Linked DNA regions of Saccharomyces cerevisiae S288C. Changing the gene in region 3 together with the main gene of any one other region gives a genetic interaction. Each region holds a gene or a part of one and is shown on either strand. Other genes may lie near its edges.

The links. Genes that interact genetically often act in the same process or in processes that back each other up.
Region 1: mutations in PPT2 (region 3) and LSC1 together harm fitness more than expected from each alone (negative genetic interaction), as found in Saccharomyces cerevisiae (2 studies listed by BioGRID).
Region 2: mutations in PPT2 (region 3) and NCA2 together harm fitness more than expected from each alone (negative genetic interaction), as found in Saccharomyces cerevisiae (2 studies listed by BioGRID).

What each region holds. Positions count from the first base shown.
Region 1 is NC_001147.6:591,215-594,616, forward strand, and holds LSC1 (succinate--CoA ligase (GDP-forming) subunit alpha), read left to right. Parts: upstream 1-1,842; coding exon 1,843-2,832; downstream 2,833-3,402. Other genes in the region: ARP8 (Arp8p), read right to left, coding at 1-1,373. UniProt on the Saccharomyces cerevisiae protein: Succinyl-CoA synthetase functions in the citric acid cycle (TCA), coupling the hydrolysis of succinyl-CoA to the synthesis of ATP and thus represents the only step of substrate-level phosphorylation in the TCA.
Region 2 is NC_001148.4:834,993-838,953, reverse strand, and holds NCA2 (Nca2p), read left to right. Parts: upstream 1-1,540; coding exon 1,541-3,391; downstream 3,392-3,961. Other genes in the region: TPO3 (spermine transporter), read left to right, coding at 1-1,045; PIN3 (Pin3p), read right to left, coding at 3,742-3,961. UniProt on the Saccharomyces cerevisiae protein: Involved in the mitochondrial expression of subunits 6 and 8 of the F0-F1 ATP synthase.
Region 3 is NC_001148.4:271,794-274,829, forward strand, and holds PPT2 (holo-[acyl-carrier-protein] synthase), read right to left. Parts: upstream 1,023-3,036; coding exon 501-1,022; downstream 1-500. Other genes in the region: ATG5 (Atg5p), read left to right, coding at 1-401; ATP-binding cassette long-chain fatty acid transporter PXA1, read left to right, coding at 1,462-3,036. UniProt on the Saccharomyces cerevisiae protein: Transfers the 4'-phosphopantetheine moiety from coenzyme A to a Ser of mitochondrial acyl-carrier-protein.

The DNA of each region.
Region 1 (3,402 bases), on a different chromosome or scaffold from region 3:
AATATGTCTGGTATCACCAACACGACCTTGTACTGATTAAATTTGGTAGGCTTAACGTTTAAAGTCTCTGAGTTAAGTGCATGCTCCAAAAGCTTGGTAACGTCTGAGATTAATTCTGCCAACGATTTATAATATGGTGACTTGACATTAAAAGAGCCACCTCTGAAAGGCTTTCTAATAACAAATTTTTCGTCCACGCACCTCAATGCATCTGAACCATAGTATAATTTTGAGTCATCAAATATCCATTCTATAGGAGATGGATCATTTTTCTCTGAAATAATCTCAGGTTTGGAATTTTCATTGAAAGATACTACCTGTTCGTGAGCATTACCTGGTACCTTTCTTTTATAATACCTCATACGTTCTCTAAAATTCTTTTCCATCTCCGACTTTATGTTGTTAAACTCTTCTGACTGTTCTCTTTGAAGGCAAACGTTTTCAACATGTTCACTATTTTCAAGATCCAGCCATTTTTTAGGTACCGCTACACAATTTGGAACTACGACAGGATGGTCATCTTTGGGAAATCCTATCTTTATAGAATTTGATCCAGGATGTATCACGATAGTTGCTGTTGGATCATTTAGATCTATCTCGTCATTAAGTGGTGCTGCACTCGCTTCTGAGTGGGGCAAACTCTTTAAATCTATAACATCTGGTGTGTTGGTACTAGATATTTGGCTAGTGTTGTTATTTCTCAAAAATTTTCTATCTCTAAGTGCAAATATTTGATCGTCTTTTTTCAGATAATCTGATGAGTAGTTTTTTTGGTTGATTAACATTAAAGGTTGGAACAGGCCAGTGGCAGGTAAAGTAGTTGTCTCCACTTTCTCAATGCCAATTTTTTTCAACGTCTTGGCAAATTCTTCAGCAGCTTTAATACGTCCTAGTCTCCTCTTCTCCAAAAGATGTAGCGGGACTTTCTTCCCGGGAGGTGCTTTTGCGGGATCTAGCTTCGGATATTTCTTATAACGTTTACTAGTCTGCACAGCAGGTGGTGCCCTCTTATCTCTAGAGCTCCCTAATTCATTTTCATTTTCGTTGGCATTATCATTATCATTTTCGTCCTCATTGTCAACATCATTGTCGTCTTCGTCTTCATCTTCGTCTTCCCCTTCTTCATCTTCATCTTCTTCGTCTGCAACGTCTCTTGGGTCAACAGAAAGACCTGTTACACTTCTGGGTGTCTCAGATCCAACTACGTTATCGACACTATCGTCTGACTCATTCTCCGCATTTTCTTGATCCGCCTGGCTGCTTAAAGGTACGCTATTTTCTTCTTCCAGTTCATCCTCATCGTCATCATCCTCTAACGGAATATCAATGGGTTCCTCATAAATAATACTGGATTCTGCTTCTTCTTGCGACATGTTAGGTGCGATTGTATCCCTGTATTTATGTACTATTGACTAGTAATTTACCTGAAAGTGTTTGCTACTTCGTGGGCGTTCATCATCTCCATTTATTCATATTGCCATTCTCAAATAAGTCATCTTGCACGGCCCAACCAGCGGCTGGATAACGGATCTACCCCAACCTCGGACCCAAAGTTGCTGCTATAAAAACAGAAACAAAAAAGGCGTTTCTCGAGACTGATATCCAGATGGTAATAGAGCCCTTAAGTGCTTTGCAATTGTCAATTAAGTATCCTTGTTCGAGAGTTGTTCACAGCACACTGCGTATATATAGGCTTACCACAGTTGGATTTAATCAAGCGATATAAAAGCTGGAAGGAGACAAGTTTCCCCTAATTGTTGTTCTGTTTGTTACTTACCACTCTATATACGTTCGATTTCATAGAAAATTTCTTTTGCAGACCATTTATTCTTCAGTTTGATAATGTTAAGATCTACCGTTTCAAAAGCTTCTCTCAAAATTTGTCGTCACTTTCACAGAGAATCTATTCCTTACGATAAGACGATCAAAAATTTGCTGCTTCCCAAGGACACCAAGGTGATCTTTCAGGGGTTCACAGGTAAACAAGGTACTTTTCATGCCAGCATCTCTCAAGAATATGGTACAAATGTTGTGGGTGGTACGAACCCAAAAAAGGCGGGTCAAACACATTTAGGCCAACCTGTCTTTGCCTCTGTGAAGGACGCGATTAAGGAGACTGGAGCCACTGCCAGTGCCATCTTTGTTCCTCCACCGATCGCAGCTGCTGCCATTAAAGAATCTATTGAAGCTGAAATTCCGTTAGCTGTATGTATCACTGAAGGTATTCCTCAACATGACATGTTATACATTGCAGAAATGTTGCAGACACAAGATAAAACAAGATTAGTTGGGCCCAACTGCCCTGGTATCATTAACCCAGCAACAAAGGTAAGAATTGGTATCCAGCCCCCAAAAATTTTTCAAGCTGGTAAAATCGGTATTATTTCCAGATCGGGAACTTTGACATACGAAGCTGTTCAGCAAACTACAAAAACTGACCTTGGTCAATCACTGGTTATTGGTATGGGTGGTGATGCTTTTCCCGGTACTGATTTTATTGACGCCTTGAAATTATTTCTAGAAGATGAAACTACAGAAGGTATTATTATGTTAGGTGAAATAGGTGGTAAGGCCGAAATCGAAGCTGCTCAATTTCTCAAAGAATACAACTTTAGCAGGAGTAAGCCGATGCCGGTGGCATCTTTCATCGCAGGAACTGTTGCTGGTCAAATGAAAGGTGTTAGAATGGGTCACTCCGGTGCAATTGTAGAAGGATCTGGAACTGATGCAGAATCCAAAAAACAAGCTTTGAGAGATGTTGGTGTTGCCGTCGTTGAATCTCCAGGTTACTTAGGTCAAGCTTTACTGGATCAATTTGCCAAATTTAAATGATTATATTAGGAAGAGAATGAACTGCTTTCAAAAGAGGAAGACTTCTATGTCTCGATTATTGCTTAGACAAGTATGGAGCTGACATCCGTTTTCTTTTCAGAGCTTTTACTCAACATTCTATGTTAATTTTTCCCTTTGTATATATTCATTTATCCTTATAAATTCTACTAAAAATCTTTTAATAGTGTTTGTATTTAATGTTCTTCTTAACAAGGGTATACATAAAGGTTGATTAAAGCTTAATAATTGAAATGGAAAAAAAAATAACAAAACGTCTGAATTTCCTAGTCTGTTTTGCAAAAACAGATGCGCAAGCCGGGAATCGAACCCGGGCCTCATGCTTGGGAAGCATAAATTCTAACCACTGAACCACTTGCGCGTTTCAATCAATTTGGGAAGACTCAGCACGTTATATACTATTAATGAAAAATTTCCTTCTTAGTAATGACACTGATAAATAGGTAAGTGTTGGAATTAAAATCAACTATCGTCTAACAACTAGTAGTCACACTACCAATATATTATCATACACGGTGTTAGACGATGACATAAGATATGAGAAACTGTCAT
Region 2 (3,961 bases), 560 kb from region 3:
ATTTTTATGTGGTGTTTGGTCATCATCTGGTTTGTGTTTAGTTGGTGGGTCTATTGCCGATATGTTCCCAAGTGAAACAAGAGGTAAGGCTATTGCTTTCTTCGCTTTTGCTCCTTACGTTGGTCCCGTTGTTGGTCCACTAGTTAACGGTTTTATTTCCGTTTCTACCGGACGTATGGACCTGATTTTCTGGGTCAATATGGCCTTTGCAGGTGTTATGTGGATCATATCTTCTGCCATCCCAGAAACGTACGCTCCAGTTATCTTGAAGAGAAAGGCTGCTAGATTAAGAAAGGAAACTGGTAATCCCAAGATTATGACTGAGCAGGAAGCGCAAGGTGTCAGTATGGGTGAAATGATGAGGGCTTGTCTGTTGAGACCTTTGTACTTCTCTGTCACTGAACCTGTTCTAGTTGCTACTTGTTTCTACGTGTGTTTGATTTACTCTCTACTATATGCGTTCTTCTTTGCCTTCCCTGTCATTTTCGGTGAACTATATGGCTACAAAGACAACCTTGTGGGTTTGATGTTTATTCCTATTGTTATCGGTGCTCTTTGGGCGTTAGCCACAACTTTCTACTGTGAAAACAAGTATTTACAAATTGTCAAACAGCGTAAACCTACTCCTGAAGATCGTTTGCTAGGTGCTAAGATCGGTGCTCCATTTGCTGCAATTGCTTTATGGATCCTGGGTGCTACCGCTTATAAACATATTATTTGGGTTGGTCCAGCTTCAGCTGGTTTAGCTTTTGGTTTCGGTATGGTGTTGATTTATTATTCATTGAATAATTACATTATTGATTGCTACGTCCAATACGCATCCAGTGCTCTGGCTACAAAGGTTTTCTTAAGATCCGCCGGTGGTGCTGCCTTCCCCTTGTTTACCATTCAAATGTACCACAAATTGAATCTGCACTGGGGTTCTTGGTTGTTGGCTTTCATCTCCACTGCTATGATTGCTTTACCTTTTGCATTTTCTTACTGGGGCAAAGGTTTGAGACATAAGTTATCCAAGAAGGATTATTCCATAGATAGTATTGAATAAGAGTAACGATTTTACGAATCGAGCATAATAATGAAAAATTATAGTAGTAGTAATGATAAAAACATAAGCAAACATAAGCAAACATAAGCAAACATATCAAACATGCATTCAAACCATTATCCGACAGTAATGTACATATATTTTTACGTATTTTACATTCTTTCTCTATTGTTCTTTTATCTATTGCTATCCTAAACAAATATATTGATTGACCTTCAAACCGTGAGTAACTTTATTAATTTATATGTATAGAAAAAAAAAAAAATTGAATTAGAAATTTGAACTTCTCAAGTTCATTCTTCTTGTACCTATGCGATGACTTTATTTTCGGTTTTTACATTCCTCCTCATTTGACCGAGGAATACGAATTTGATTGACCCCCACTCACTAAACAAAGGGTCGGAATTCTTTTCCACTTTAAAACTTAGTAATAACAACAAAGTCAACAAAATAGTCCTATTGCAAAATTGCAGGTTCCTTAATTAATATTCTTAAATGATCATCAATAGGCGTATTTTGAAATCTTTTGAAGAGATAAGTCATTCATTAGAGGAATCACTACGAGAGGTTGCATTTGATTCACAGCAACAATTGATTCAAGACGTACGTGAGGAAAATGAAGAACTAAGTAGGTTACAAGATCAATTACAATTGATCAGGTCAATTGTTGAAAAAATCTGCATTTCAATCAAAACTGACAATATTGACTCTTATTGTTCGGTGCCTTTTGATTTGCTATACAATATTTGCAAGGACATTGCTGATCCCTCATCCTTTGAAGACGGAGATTTGCAATATCTTGTTAGCCAAGCCATATTTGAGTACATTATATTATTGTGCTACTATTCTGTGACCAACGAATGCGTCCAAGGTTTACCTGCCGTGTATGAAGCTGAACAGTACTACAAAACAGTAAGTGATTCAATCCTAAAGTCTTTTCTTTACTGTTTACAAAATTCAGTATCGACAATACGTCTTTTATCTCAAACTGTTTTGAAGGATGTAAATAAGAAAAAACTGTCGCATCAAAAATGGTCCCTAAAGGCCTTGTCAGTTGATTTACTAGAAAAAATACGCCCAAGAATAAACAAATTTATGGTGATTCGGAACTTCAGGTTTGTCGGGCTACCGAAGAAACCAATTGAAATAGCTTCATTGGTTTCTGATATACCTCGCGGTATAGTGCACGAAAGACTTGATATGGTCACTCAATCATCAAAGTATTATACTATTAAACTGGGGCAGTTGATCACTGAATTCGATCAACAACCAGAAGAAAATGGTATGTTCACCGAAGTACATTTACCGAACTACGAAAGACGTCTAAAATCTTTACAGGACTTCTTTGGATTAGCCATGTCTGATTCGAATTTACTAGATGTGATCCGATGCTCAGCGAAATTTCATAAAGATCATCCTTTAAGAAGGTTCACTAAACCAAGTATATTGACTAGATACTGGCCTTCAATTTTGTTGTGTCTTTTATATGGACCATCTTCTGTTATGTCGTTGTGGAATTCCCGGTATTTTATTCAAGATTTCATTAAGACCAATGTCGTTGACTTTGCGAAAGGGCTGATCTTGAACTGGTTATGGGCACCCCTGAAACAGGTTTGGTCTACTGTTAAGCATGACGAGGGAAGCGCCATTTCAGTGACATCACAGGAGACATTAAACTCTGACATGGATTCTCTTACCAGAATGATTGTTAGTTTTGTTGTGGATAATAGTGATTCGACGTCTAACAGCCCCATAGACCCTATTCTATTGAGTACTAAAGTCGAACATGGTGATTTGACCGAATTTATGGAAATATATGAAACACAACTACATCATCCGATAAAGAATATAGCTACGGGTGGATTAGTCAGGTCTTTATTGATTCAACTGCAAAAAACAAAAGTCGATGGATCTATGGCATTGAATGGCATTGATAAAATGCTGAAATCGCAACAGTTGGTGTTTGGAGTTGTAGCATTATCTCCGGCTTTAGTGATACTATATTCTTCTATAGTGGCGTTAAAAAGATTTGTCAAACTAGGCAATGTCTGGTCTAATGAAAAACGGTATAGGGAGCAAATAAGTATAAGTTTGAATAATGTGGAAAGAGTTTTGAATTATTCTAAACAAGGTGCGGACGCCGATGAGGAACACTTAAACCAGGGTCTACTAGTGATTGAGGTTTCTAACTTATACAAATTGGGAAGTTTTTTGATCCCGCGTTCAAGAAAGAAAGAATGGTTTAGGGACGTTGAGGAACTGGTGGATACCAATCTTGACTCCGGAGCTCATATAAATGTCGTCAACAGGATATACCACGTATATGGCAGGTTTTTAATCCATTAGCGTATAGCCTGCTGGGGAAGAAGAAAGGGAAGATATTGAATATATTCTTAATGTATTTTTTGTACAGACGTAAATATAAAGAAATCAACGCAAAATCGACGCCTTTTTACTTTTTATACTTTTTTACTAAAAAGACAGATTTTCTCGCTCATATCATAAGTGATGTACTATTATCCTCCATATACGATATATCTGTTTAAAAAAAAAGAAAAAAAAAGGTTACTTAAATTCATACTCATTAGAAAAAAATTCTAGGGATAACAACACCAAAGGTAGAACTTCGTTCAATTTATGAAAGGTTTGGCCATAATGGAGAACAAATGAATGAAGTATATAAAGAGAAAAACGACTTAAAAGATATTATTAACAATATCTGACCCAATACTAGCGCCTGCCCCAAAAATGGCGGCATTACCCAATTTGCTACCAAAGCTCTTCAAGTGGCTATGTGAGCTCTGATGTTGTTGTTGTTGTTGTTGTTGTTGGGGAGGAGGAGCTTGTTGCGGCTGTTGTTGAGGCTGCTGATAATAATTTGTGGAAGGTGGAGGAAATGGCTGCTGTTGATAAGAT
Region 3 (3,036 bases):
TTATGTCTTTATCGGTCAACGAAGCTCGAAAATTTTGGGGCAGTGTTATTACGAGAAATTTCCAAGATTTCATTGAAATATCTAACAAGATAAGTTCATCAAGACCGCGACATATACCGCTCATCATTCAAACCTCAAGGACATCAGGAACTTTTCGAATATCACAACCAACTATCAGTATGACTGGAGTCAATCCTACGTTGAAGGATATTGAAGGCGATATTCTGGACGTAAAGGAAGGAATCAATGGTAATGATGTCATGGTTATTTGTCAAGGAATTGAAATTCCTTGGCATATGCTCCTGTATGATTTGTATTCTAAATTGCGAAGTTTTGATGGCTTTTTGTACATAACTCTTGTTCCTATAAAAGGCGGCGATAAAGCTTCCTCTGAGCTCTAAGAGCTGTTATATACGCATTTAAAAGTGTCATTCAAATATCGCAGAAAATAACTTGGACGTTGAAAATAGGGCCACATTTATACGGCTGCAAGAAAACTTTTACTCTCTTTCTACCAAGTTTGTTACTGCAATTAAATAATCTTTATCATGGGATAGCGAAACTAAAAACTCATGAGTGGAAAAGAGAGAATCGTAGTTTTTCGAGAGCTGTTGATACTTTGGATACTTTTTTCCAAACATCTTATCAAACTCTAACTGAGGTACACCTGTATCGGTTTGTGTTTTATATAGCATTCCAGCGTACAGTACTTGGGCAGGAGGTAGATCATGCTTTGAAACACAGCAACACAACGCTTTCAATGAGCATTCCTTCAAAGCCCAAACTCCCGCTATATATTCATGCAATCGTGGAGTTAAGCAGTTTTCTTCGATGAGAAGATTACTGAAATGAAATCTTTCCTTTTCATGCATGAACTTCCGTGTTATTTTATTCAAGGTAGAACGGCCACATGGGTCGAATGGGGAATATTTCTCTAGTATATGTGCAAATCTTGGCAAGTATACAATGTCAACTCCCACTCCTGCTATCTTACGTCCAATATTCCTCGATGCAAAACTCATCACTGGAGGCATTCAAAGCTAGCACTTATGAAATAAACGTTCATTAGAAAGCAATACTCCTGATAAGAAAATAGTGCTTAGCTTCTATTCAGCCTTCTTAAAGAACTAGCTTTTCTATCAAAAGTCAGATCTCTTATGACCGCTTGAACCTGTGGAATGTATATAAGCAGTTTTGATGTTAAGATTTTTTTTTCAATAGAATTTCTTCCTTCGGAAATAATCCCGATTAAGAAATTATTCTTGACGCAATATTCAGCTATATGTTGATCGGGCTTAACCGCATAAGTTTCGTTACCCTTTTTTACCCCAATTTTTAATTTCGGCGGTTATTTTCAGCCCTTTTAGAGTCAAGATATATAAGAATGCTTCTCTAAGAAGTGAGACTAACAATGAAACCCGTTTCAGACAATCTGGAAGTCTTAGAACGCATAACACAGAAATGTCAACAACATTAGCAGCACCAGCGAAACTAAAGAGTTTGCTCCTGAATCTACATACTCACTGTATTGGGCTACACGTTAACGATGTCACACCTAAAGTATATTTCAAGTTATTGATACGGCATCTTCTACAGATATCTAGATCAAACGCTGCTCATCCTAAGCTAAGAAGAAGGGCCCAGATTTTATTGGTATCGCTTTTCCTATCTGGTGTCACACTTTTTTCTGGTGTAACATATAGTACTTTCAAAATTATTCTAAAATGTTATAAATTTTACAAGTTTCCATGGAAGAGAAGGAATAGGAGACCTTTAATAAGAAGAACAAGATCTCAAATGCAATTAGACAGTGGTGCAAGAATAATGTATATTCCTGAAGTGGAATTAGTCGACCGCCAGAGTCCCGATGACAACAAATTTATGAATGCTACAGATAAAAAAAAAAGGAAAAGGATATTTATTCCACCAAAGGATAACGATGTATATGAACACGATAAGTTTCTTTTTAAAAATGTAGAACTGGAAAGAGCCAAGAATTCGCAGTTATTCTACTCAAAATTTTTAAACCAAATGAACGTCTTGTCTAAAATTTTAATTCCAACAGTTTTTGACAAAAACTTTCTTCTTTTAACTGCTCAAATTTTTTTCCTGGTGATGAGAACTTGGCTCTCTTTGTTTGTAGCCAAGCTGGATGGACAAATAGTCAAAAATATAATTGCTGGTAGAGGAAGAAGCTTTCTGTGGGACTTAGGGTGTTGGTTTTTAATTGCTGTCCCTGCTTCTTATACTAATAGTGCTATTAAGCTACTTCAAAGGAAGTTGAGTTTAAACTTTAGGGTAAATTTGACACGTTACATCCATGACATGTATTTGGATAAAAGACTAACATTTTACAAATTAATTTTTGATGCAAAGGCGTCCAATTCGGTAATCAAGAATATCGACAACTCCATTACTAATGATGTTGCAAAATTTTGCGATGCGACATGCTCCGTTTTTGCAAACATTGCAAAGCCAGTTATTGATTTAATATTCTTTTCGGTTTATTTACGTGATAATTTGGGAACTGTGGGAGTAGCAGGTATATTTGTTAATTATTTCATTACTGGGTTTATTTTGAGGAAATACACGCCACCATTAGGTAAATTGGCAGGCGAGAGATCTGCTTCAGACGGCGATTACTACAATTATCATCTAAACATGATAAATAATAGCGAAGAGATCGCATTTTACCAAGGAACAGCAGTGGAAAGGACGAAAGTTAAAGAGTTGTATGATGTGCTGATGGAAAAAATGCTGCTGGTTGATAAAGTCAAGTTTGGTTACAATATGTTGGAAGACTATGTTTTAAAATATACATGGTCCGGTTTGGGTTATGTTTTTGCCTCAATCCCTATCGTTATGTCTACCTTAGCGACAGGCATCAATTCAGAGGAAAAAAATATGAAGGAATTTATAGTCAACAAAAGGTTGATGTTGTCGCTTGCAGATGCAGGCTCGAGATTGATGCATTCGATAAAGGACATCTCACAATTGACCGGCTACACTAATAGGATATTTACTCTGCTTTCCGTC